3 linked regions of the Saccharomyces cerevisiae S288C genome follow. The gene in region 1 interacts genetically with each later gene. Each region holds a gene or a part of one and is shown in the gene's direction. Other genes may lie near its edges. The genes, in order: BNI1, CYK3 and AIP5.

Evidence for each region.
Region 2: mutations in BNI1 (region 1) and CYK3 are lethal when combined (synthetic lethality), as found in Saccharomyces cerevisiae (6 studies listed by BioGRID, with this or other methods).
Region 3: mutations in BNI1 (region 1) and AIP5 together harm fitness more than expected from each alone (negative genetic interaction), as found in Saccharomyces cerevisiae (5 studies listed by BioGRID, with this or other methods).

The regions. Positions count from the first base shown.
Region 1 is NC_001146.8:133,156-136,913, reverse strand, and holds the start of BNI1 (formin BNI1), read left to right. Parts: upstream 1-1,530; coding exon 1,531-3,758. Other genes in the region: arginine permease ALP1, read left to right, coding at 1-974. UniProt on the Saccharomyces cerevisiae protein: Required for the assembly of F-actin structures, such as actin cables and stress fibers. Nucleates actin filaments. Binds to the barbed end of the actin filament and acts as a leaky capper, slowing both polymerization and depolymerization.
Region 2 is NC_001136.10:246,585-250,342, forward strand, and holds the start of CYK3 (Cyk3p), read left to right. Parts: upstream 1-1,996; coding exon 1,997-3,758. Other genes in the region: HEM25 (Hem25p), read right to left, coding at 105-1,028. UniProt on the Saccharomyces cerevisiae protein: Involved in cytokinesis by recruiting INN1 to the bud neck. Cooperates with INN1 to stimulate the synthesis of the primary septum (PS) by CHS2.
Region 3 is NC_001138.5:179,084-182,841, reverse strand, and holds the start of AIP5 (Aip5p), read left to right. Parts: upstream 1-2,098; coding exon 2,099-3,758. Other genes in the region: IGD1 (Igd1p), read left to right, coding at 1-568.

The DNA.
Region 1 (3,758 bases):
GAGCCTGGGGGCCTGGCATTATCTCCAGTGATAAAAATGAGGGCCGTTTTCTCGGATGGGTTTCCTCTTTGATTAATGCTGCATTTACGTACCAAGGTACTGAACTGGTTGGGATAACCGCTGGTGAAGCGGCTAACCCAAGAAAAGCTCTCCCGAGGGCAATAAAGAAAGTTGTAGTGAGGATTCTAGTCTTTTACATTCTTTCACTATTTTTCATTGGCCTTTTGGTCCCATATAATGACCCAAAGTTGGATAGTGACGGTATATTTGTCTCTTCATCGCCCTTTATGATAAGCATTGAGAATTCAGGCACAAAAGTTCTCCCAGATATATTTAACGCGGTCGTGCTAATCACCATTCTTTCCGCAGGTAACTCTAATGTGTACATTGGCTCAAGAGTACTGTATAGTCTGTCTAAAAATAGCTTGGCGCCAAGGTTCTTGTCTAACGTGACCAGAGGTGGTGTTCCATACTTTTCTGTTCTATCTACATCCGTGTTCGGATTTTTGGCTTTCTTAGAGGTTTCTGCAGGCAGCGGCAAGGCCTTTAACTGGTTATTGAACATAACTGGTGTGGCCGGTTTCTTTGCCTGGCTTTTGATTTCATTTTCTCATATCCGTTTCATGCAAGCCATAAGGAAACGTGGTATATCGAGGGATGACTTACCTTATAAAGCTCAAATGATGCCTTTTTTGGCATATTATGCATCTTTTTTCATCGCTCTAATTGTTCTGATCCAGGGCTTCACCGCTTTCGCACCTACTTTTCAGCCTATAGACTTTGTCGCTGCATATATATCAATATTCCTATTTTTGGCCATATGGTTATCATTCCAAGTTTGGTTTAAGTGCCGCTTACTCTGGAAGCTGCAGGATATCGATATCGATTCTGACCGCCGGCAAATAGAGGAGTTGGTATGGATAGAGCCAGAATGTAAAACAAGGTGGCAACGAGTTTGGGATGTCCTTTCATAATTTTAGAATAATACTCCATACCACACACACACATATATATGTATGTATGTATGTATGTATGTATATGTATATTTGCCAAATCCTTGCTCAACTCTTTTCCTGTGATTATATGATTACTCCCTAGTTGTTTCGTTGTTAGCCGCCGAAAGTCATCGCCCGTAATTTCCATGGCTTACCCGACATCGGTTAGAGGAAGTTTTTGACGTGGAAGAGGGAAAGAAAGAAAAAACAGATGTGGAAAACTAGAATCCCTTTTAAGAACAATAGCACGGACCCTTCCTACAGATAAGAGGACACTGACGGCTGTGTGTTAATTATTTTCGTATTAAGCATAAAATTGGACAGTGGCATTCTTTTCTTCACCCTTCACGTTTTTTATACGTCTCATACAGTTGGGCCATTTTTTACTTTTTTTTTTGCCATTTGTATCTATCTTCTGTATTGAGGAGAAACATTTTAACTCAAGCCTAGTTAAATTCTAAATACACGCCACATAAAGAAGGCACCTGAACCTTTTCAACAAACGAGAAGCAAGAAAGGAAGAGAAGGAAAGGAAATGTTGAAGAATTCAGGCTCCAAACATTCGAACTCAAAGGAAAGTCATTCGAATTCGAGTTCTGGTATATTCCAAAATTTGAAGCGTTTGGCTAACTCAAATGCAACGAATAGCAATACGGGTTCTCCGACCTATGCATCCCAACAACAGCACTCTCCAGTGGGAAACGAAGTGTCCACTTCACCTGCATCTTCGTCATCTTTTAGAAAACTGAATGCACCTTCTAGGTCTACATCTACTGAGGCGAGGCCGTTGAATAAAAAATCGACATTAAACACACAAAACTTGTCTCAATATATGAATGGTAAATTAAGTGGAGATGTTCCCGTATCCTCACAGCACGCAAGGTCGCATTCAATGCAATCGAAATATTCGTATTCCAAGAGGAATTCTTCACAGGCGTCCAATAAGCTAACAAGGCAGCATACCGGGCAAAGTCACTCCGCATCAAGTCTTCTCTCTCAAGGTTCGCTAACTAACTTGAGCAAATTCACTACACCCGATGGTAAAATTTATTTAGAAATGCCGTCGGACCCATACGAGGTGGAAGTTTTGTTTGAAGATATTATGTATAAAAGAAATATTTTTCAGTCTTTATCAGAGGACAAACAAGAAGCTCTGATGGGCTACAGCATTGAGAAGAAATGGCTGATTGTTAAGCAGGATTTACAAAATGAGCTAAAAAAAATGCGAGCAAACACTACATCTTCTTCCACTGCCTCCAGAACTTCGATGGCGTCGGACCATCATCCTATCCTTACGGCTAATTCATCTCTTTCGTCTCCCAAATCTGTTTTGATGACAAGCGCCTCTTCTCCCACCTCAACTGTATACAGCAACAGTTTAAATCATTCTACTACTCTTTCATCGGTAGGTACGTCAACCTCGAAGGGGAAAAAATTAGTGAGCGGGAGTTTGAAAAAGCAGCCATCTCTAAACAATATTTATAGAGGTGGGGCTGAGAACAATACGAGTGCATCTACTCTTCCAGGAGACAGAACAAACAGACCACCGATACATTATGTGCAACGAATCCTGGCAGACAAACTTACTAGCGATGAGATGAAAGATTTATGGGTAACTTTAAGAACTGAACAGTTAGACTGGGTAGACGCTTTTATAGACCATCAGGGTCACATTGCTATGGCTAATGTACTAATGAACTCTATTTATAAGACTGCACCCCGAGAAAACTTGACTAAAGAATTATTAGAGAAAGAAAATTCATTTTTTAAATGCTTCAGAGTCTTATCAATGCTCTCACAAGGTTTGTATGAGTTCAGTACACATAGGTTAATGACTGATACTGTTGCAGAAGGTTTATTCTCTACGAAACTGGCCACAAGGAAAATGGCCACTGAAATTTTTGTTTGTATGCTAGAAAAAAAAAATAAAAGCAGATTCGAAGCAGTTCTTACCTCACTAGATAAAAAGTTTAGGATAGGGCAAAATCTTCATATGATTCAAAACTTCAAAAAAATGCCCCAGTATTTCTCTCATTTAACCTTGGAAAGTCATTTGAAAATTATTCAAGCCTGGTTATTTGCCGTTGAACAAACTTTAGATGGAAGAGGAAAAATGGGTTCCTTAGTAGGCGCGTCGGATGAATTTAAAAATGGTGGGGGTGAAAATGCGATTCTAGAATACTGCCAATGGACAATGGTTTTTATCAATCATTTATGCTCTTGCTCTGATAACATAAATCAAAGAATGCTATTAAGGACGAAACTAGAAAATTGTGGAATTTTACGAATTATGAACAAAATAAAACTGCTAGATTACGACAAGGTAATTGACCAAATTGAGTTATATGACAATAATAAACTTGACGATTTTAACGTTAAATTAGAGGCCAACAATAAGGCTTTTAATGTAGATTTACACGATCCACTATCATTATTAAAAAACCTTTGGGATATATGTAAAGGTACCGAGAATGAAAAGCTTTTAGTATCTTTAGTTCAACATCTTTTCCTTTCTAGTTCAAAGTTAATAGAAGAAAACCAAAATTCCTCTAAACTTACTAAGCAATTGAAACTTATGGATTCTTTGGTGACTAATGTTAGTGTTGCCTCAACTTCTGATGAAGAAACTAATATGAATATGGCTATCCAGCGGCTTTACGATGCCATGCAGACTGATGAAGTTGCACGTCGAGCTATATTAGAAAGTAGAGCTCTAACGAAGAAATTGGAAGAAATTCAGGCAGAAAGGGATTCTTTAAGTGA
Region 2 (3,758 bases), on another chromosome or scaffold:
ACGTACTACTAAGCTTCAACGTCACTCTATAAAGAAACTAAAAAGACACGTATTTATACCTTTTTTGAAGAATGCGAGATTGCAATGAAATATGTGTCTATTTTTTACATGAATCTTTTGACCAACTCCTCATATATACCCCACGCAATACCTGCACTGAAGGCCTTTCTTGCCAGCCTCATGCTTAACCCGCTAAATAACTTCAGCACATTTTCATTTTTAACTATAGATGTAAATGTATTGAAGGAGTTGGTAAATTTTGATGGTTCCAATTGCATTCTCGTTTTTATGGTGTCGAACGGTGCCGTTACTGTGGTGGCTAAACTGGCGGATAGTACGGCGCTTGTTGTATTTACTGTTGTAGAGGTATAAGTAGTAAATCCTCCCTCAGGATTGTAATGTATAAACCTAGAAGGTAATACCATGGGCAGTAATTGTTTCGATTTTTCATATAGCAGCACATACAAACCTGCATAGGGAGCGTCTCTTAAACAAGTAGCTCCAAACCCTCTGAAAAATCCAAAAAGTCCTTCCTTAGTATATATATGGGTAATTGCCTCCTTTAAACTGGAGTAATTGTACAGAGTAGACTCATAACGGACTTTAATGACGGTGATAGGCATGGTTATATAACCTACCAAACCTCTTGCAAATGCACCTGTTAGTAAATTTTCATACATCGTTAATCGTGGTAAGCTACTGCTCTTGTTATATACAATGTTTGAATCGTTTGTTAATGAAGGCACAGCATTCCTCCTCTTTGCCAAAGATGAGCGCATAAGGTTCAAACATGATAAATATAAGGCGCTGCCTATTGATGTTCGTAATGCTGAAGGTAATGTACCTCTCCATAGCTGTAGAGGGCTGTCTATCTCTTTCAAATTTTTCCATAATGTAGCTTTCTTGTCTTGCTGGATTCTCGTCTTCAAAAGGTCTAAAGGTTGCAACGCAACAGCAGATGTTAGCCCACCGAAAAAGCCCCCGATCAAATGCGATGAATTTCTTGGCTTAGTTGCTTGCTCAGTCATGTATGCTGCTTCACAAATTGTGTACCTTCTAGTTGTTCCCGCTGTGCTATTTGCTTTTCTTTTGGTATAAGCTTATCCTTTTACTTCAATCACCCCCTCGTGAGAATTTAATGTGGAAGCAATATACTACTACACCGTTGACTTGGAGATTTTCAAGCTCAATTTTGCGTTCACTCAAATCTAAGTCATTTGAAACAAACACAACTTCTAAATATAGCAAGAGAAATAGGTCAATAACGCAGACACATATTTAACATTTAAGATACTGATAGATATTCAAAAGGAAACAGTCACCACAAGCGTTGGAGATTCAGCAAAACCCAAAAAGCAAGAAATTACAAAATCATTGTCTCGCTGATGAAACACCATCCTTTAGTGTTTGTATCCATTCAGCGTACCCTCTTGTTCTTGAGACTGGTGAATTTCGTAACTAGTTGAATATTGCAGGGTTTTCTTTTTCTAAATATGTATTAATGGTGGTGCCTGTCAGGGCGCGATAGAAGTGAAAAATTCTCGAATGGCTGGTTTGGTGGCCATTGAGCTGATCTGAAAAGGATGGTGAGATCAAGCTTGATATCTTGCATGCTTGGACCAACTATTTAAAATAAGTATTGAAAAAGGAGAATTTAGTTTCATTTACTCTCTACAATTGGATATTATACAGTTAAAACAAGAGAAAAGGCCAAAATTAACGGGACTCTGTTTGCATAACATATCTATAATATCAGTTTGATCTACTGCTGTTAAACTAATTTTTCTTTCTTCTGATTTCACTTCGTCCTTAATATTTTAACACATTAACTGTTTGCTATAAGCATACATTGCTTTTACCACTTTTTTTAATAATATCTTTTTATCCGTATTAATTACCGCATATAATTTTAGTTCGAAACATTAAAGGTCAGTCCCGAAGTTATAATTATAACATTTAATTCCTGAATTTACCGTATTACATTTAAATTTGCATAATGGCCACTAACTTAACATCTTTGAAGCCACCATTTAAGGTGAAGGCCAGGTATGGTTGGTCGGGCCAAACTAAAGGCGACTTAGGCTTTCTGGAGGGAGATATTATGGAAGTCACAAGGATTGCCGGTTCTTGGTTCTACGGCAAGTTATTGAGAAACAAAAAATGTTCTGGGTATTTTCCTCATAACTTCGTCATACTATTAGAGGAGAGATTAAATTCGAGCACTGAAAATGGTAGGCAACCTTCAAAAATAGTAGAAAGTTTTGAAAAATCAAATAAAGTTGTTATTCCACCAGTACCATCAAGGTATTCTGACGAGAGGCCAAGGCCTAAAAAGAAGCTATCTTCATCAATGCCCAATTCACCCAAGAAGCCGGTAGATTCTTTGACAAAGGCTAGAAAGGCAAAATCAAAAGAAATGGTAAATGAAAAAAATATCTATAATACCCAATCCTCTCGACATCATAATAACTCAGCTCCAAATTTACCTTTGGCTAGCCATAGTAAGCCTCAAGTACGAAATTTCGAGGAGTCCATGAACAATCCGTTACCACCTCTACCGCCACTACCAGATTTGGACAATATGAGAAAGACAGATAAAAGGGCACCAAAGAAATCATATTCTGCAAACGATTTACATATGGCACGTTCTTCAAGAGAATATAACTATTACAAAGACAACCAGAAATTCTATGATGGGTTTATCCCAGAAAAGAGATATTCTTTAGAAGAGGACTCTATTTCATCAGGCCTGTTTTCAAACTCTCAGTACTTAAATGATTCTGCTTGTAGTAGTGAGAACAGTTTTGCCTTAATGAGTGATTTTAGTGCCACGAGCGCGGGAAGTTTCGCCAGACATAAATATGCACAATCGTTTTCCGATTCATTGCAAAGATCACAGAATGCAAATGGCTGCTCTACAAAGATAAATGATTCACAGGAGTTTGGTGATTCCAATGCTAGTTCGAGAAATGGAAAAATGGGTGATATCCTTAGGAAAATAATTATTCCAAAGAGGAATACAAATATTTACTCCAGTTCAGTATCCTCACCAAAGTCACCAAAAGCATATCCTAAACTACCAGATATTCAGAATTTAAACTTGTCTGCAACACCCGATGAAGCTCGCGATTGGATTGCGGTAAAATGTCACTTGAACAGAGCAAGGACTCTTACCAAATATGACAAACATCCGAGGTATATGAGAGCTCTCGAAGAAAATCGCGACTTGATCTTACATCCTCAAGATTCGATTTATAACGGGCTAAATACCAATGAAGTCAAAGGTAATACAAAGCCCGGTTTGGTCGATGTGGAACTGGCCGAATTAAACATAGAATACATTGATAAGATGACTTGGAAACGGTGTATTAGAGACGGAACTATGACATTAGACAGTTGGGCTCAAACAACTTTTTCAGCAAGATACTCAACTGTTCTGGAAAAGTTAAGAGGCATATACATTTTTTGCACAGAGATGTTTGCTCTGACTGATGATAATGGAACGTCAGATTTTTCTGCGGAACCCCAAAATTTAGAGAAAATACTATACAGAAAGCATTGTACGCCATATGAATTGACATGGCTTTTCAAGAAATTAGCAAACTCATTGGGAATCACTTGTGAAATTGTTATAGGTTTCCTGAAAACACCGAGTGCTATAAATTGGGAGTTTAAGTATAACCACTGCTGGTTGAGAATACTGGTTAACAAAGAATGGAGATTTATTGACGTTATTTTAGGAAATGTAACCAACCCAA
Region 3 (3,758 bases), on another chromosome or scaffold:
CACGCCCCAAGTGAGCACGTCACCCACATTTGAAAGATCACAGGACTTCCTCAACATCGACGAACCGCCCTGTGCACAGGAAACACCTAGTGTTTCTACATTCAACCTCCCGGGTCCAAGCGCTCCCGCTCAAAGCGTAGACAAGCCAGTCCCCATGATTAGACGGCGGTCTACCAATTATATGGACGCACTAAATTCCAGGGAACAAGCCCGGGAACGCGAAAGCAGTATCGGGGAGCACGCCCCGGGAGCCGAACGTAGGAGTAGCGGACCCATGGATTTCCAGAATACTATCCACAATATGCAATACAGGACCACTAACGACTCTGACCTGAGCCACGCTGGCGTGGATATGGGTGACTCCATCTCCCATACACCGATCTGTTCTCGTGCTGGCAACAGACCCATTTTCAAAAACTCGTACCTTGACAACAACAGCAATGGTAACAGCGCAAGAGTCCCACACGGCTCTCCTCCACAGTTGGGCACGCGTAGAAAGTCGTCTTTTAAGTACGAGGACTTTAAGAAGGACATCTATAACCAGCTTCACATGTTTGGAGAGAAGTAAAGCCTCCCTAGTGTCGTCCACACCTACCCACTCATACATATGTACGTAACGTCAATCTCTTTAGCTTCTTTTCTACATTTTTTTGTATATGTACCAAAACGTTGCGCATATTCTTCACTCATTTGCTCCCGTGGCTCGGCGGCTATTTTTCTTTTCCTACGGAGCGGACTGTGGTGCTTACGTGATAACAAACAACCCGAGACAAGATCCAATCATTGTCTGACTGGTATTCCTGCCACCATATTAAAAGATAAGACGGTCGAAAGATAATACATAAAGATAGGTGGAAATTGAGATAAAACCAGTCCAAAAATTCTAGATATATCTAGATATAGAACCAATTTTTTTTTCCCTTGTTTTTGATATGTTCCTTCGCTATCCTATTACGTTATTCATTCTTGCATTTCTGATTCCCTAGACTTGTTGACCGCCTATCGCCATTTAAGTTACCTTCTTTATTATATATTACTATATAGTGTTGACATGAATATTGTCAATTATAACAGTTAATTCCTATTTCAACGGGCACAAGTTACAAAAAAACTTAATCTGTTTCAGATGTCATTTTTATTTAGTAAAACTTGAAACGTACAATAAAATGACAGCGATATCGTGTAGAACTATCAATTCATTTCAATGGATTTCTGTACCCTCACGAATAGTTTAGATTATGTTATATAGGCGTGGTGATAATGCGATACTTTTTTTATTGACATAGTATTCATGACAGTACCTCTGCACAAAATAAAGTGTTTTCCGCGATCCGTACCTAACGTTGCCGCATGTTCGGTGAGAATTGGGAGAATAATTTGATAATTACTGGAGTTTCATTGTTGGTAAAGGCTATAATATGATGAATACAGAATGTACTAAATCCTCTCATTTCAACATATACGACCTAATTTTTATGAAGCTCCCTCGTCTTATTTTGTTTTGAATACTTGCCGGTGGTAATCGCATCATTTTCAAATTTAATTTCAAAATTATATATTCTAACTCTCAACTCCTTTCAATCTTGAGGTGCCCGCTGTTGTAAACAAGACTTCAGACCTACTAAAAAGGTGGGGAGTGCTCAAGAACTCGGATGTAAACTAACTAATAAGTGCTTATTGAGAAAGATAAGAATACAGAGACAATTGTTGCCTCGTGGCGGGGCTATTTACAGGTATTTCTGGTTAATGTTGGAGCTGTTGTGACCTTATTAGAACACGAACACTTCCAAGAAATAAGCGCAAGTGGTTTAGTGGTAAAATCCAACGTTGCCATCGTTGGGCCCCCGGTTCGATTCCGGGCTTGCGCAGTCCTTTTTTTAAGGATAAATTTATCCTAAAGCTTCCGAGAATATAACAGACAAGATGAAAATATTTGTTAAGTTTCTGAACACGAAATTGTCGTATATTTTCCCTTAATATTTCGTAGTCACTTCGCATATAAGCAAGTGGTTTTATTCCAGAACACTTTCTCTTTTTAAACCTGTTAGCAATTATTGTACTGGTGTGCTTGATTACTCTGGATTAAATAAAGAGTGACATGGTAGAATCTTTGACTGTAGAAAATCAGGAACACAATGTTCAACCCCCATCGGTAACTAGTGCTGGAGATTCGTATTCGACACTTGCTACAGATCTTCCCTTACCAAGTACGAATGATATTATAGAAAGTCGAGATCAACTTACAGAAAGTGACTTAGATGAAGCGATAAATGCCACTGAGAATTTTGCACAGGAATTATCATCTCAAAGGAAATCTTCTAAATTGAAAGGTCATAAAAAGAAAAACCAGGGACAAATAAAGGCGAATCGTGACAGAGATACTATTGTAAAACTTTCCAGTTCTGTTGGTGAAACCGAGGAAGCTTCCACACGGGATGCAATCTCTCATGATTTGGAAAGAAAAGACGACGTAATAGAGATAGCCACAGATACAATAAATGACGCTACAGAATCTCCCACACAGATCCCAATAGACGTCAATGTAGTTATCAAAGAAACTTCTACTAACAATGTAGCGGAAGGCACAGAAAATGTACCACCAATCAAAGAATCCACAGGAATTGAGGTTGGCAATAGCCCAATTACGAGAAGAAAAAAAAACAAAAAGAAAAAAACCACGAATAGAAGAGGTCGTAATTCTTCAAATCCTGCAGATACTACTGATTTGTCAAAACAGTCAACTTTAGATTCCATACTAGTAGGCATTGAAGAGTACCTACAGGAAGATGGTTCAAAGAACGAGGATATCAAAGTAAATATTGTCCAAGATGAGCCTGTTAATGTCGAAAAAATGGATATCAGAACCAGAAATGAATCTAGTGACAAAACCTTCGACATAGATGTGCCTAACAAAGATAATGTTGACGAAACTTCCTCAAAGTCCGAGAACAATATCAACGAGGAAAAGGCAGAACATACCTTACCTCGAGAAGAGAATGAGATCTTAAATGTTAATGAGGGAAATGCAGCTTCTTTTAAACACCAACTAGAGCCGCACGGTTTGGAGGCAGGTGATGAAAATGGGCAAGCGTCTACTAAGGATGTTGAAAGTGAAAGTTTAACTAAGAATGGGTTTAATTTCAAAGAGAACGAATCAAAACATTTGAAAGCTGGGGAAAAGCAGCAGACTGAAAGTGATAGAGACGGAATAAGTCCTTCAGTTCTTGCAAAAAATCAGAAAGAAACAGAAATCGGGAAAGAAGACCATGTTTTTGAACAGAAGGATAAAGAAGACGAAAAATGTAGGAAAGAATTATCTGTTAATCATGAGAATAACATGAGCCATAATTTTAACGCAGCTGGTAGTGATAGTATCATCCCTCCAGAAACTGAGCGAGAGACTTATGATGACGAAACGATGGGACCAACAAAGCGCATTAGTGACAATGAAAAAAATCTACAACACGGTACTAACGATATATCTGTAGAAGTTGAAAAAGAAGAAGAAGAAGAAGAAGAAGAAGAAGAAAATTCGACTTTTTCAAAAGTTAAAAAAGAAAATGTAACCGGGGAGCAAGAAGCTGTAAGAAATAATGAAGTGTCCGGTACCGAAGAAGAATCTACATCAAAAGGAGAGGAAATTATGGGGGGAGATGAAAAGCAGTCAGAAGCGGGAGAAAAATCTTCCATTATTGAAATAGAGGGAAGCGCAAACTCTGCAAAAATTTCTAAAGATAACCTTGTTCTTGAAGATGAAG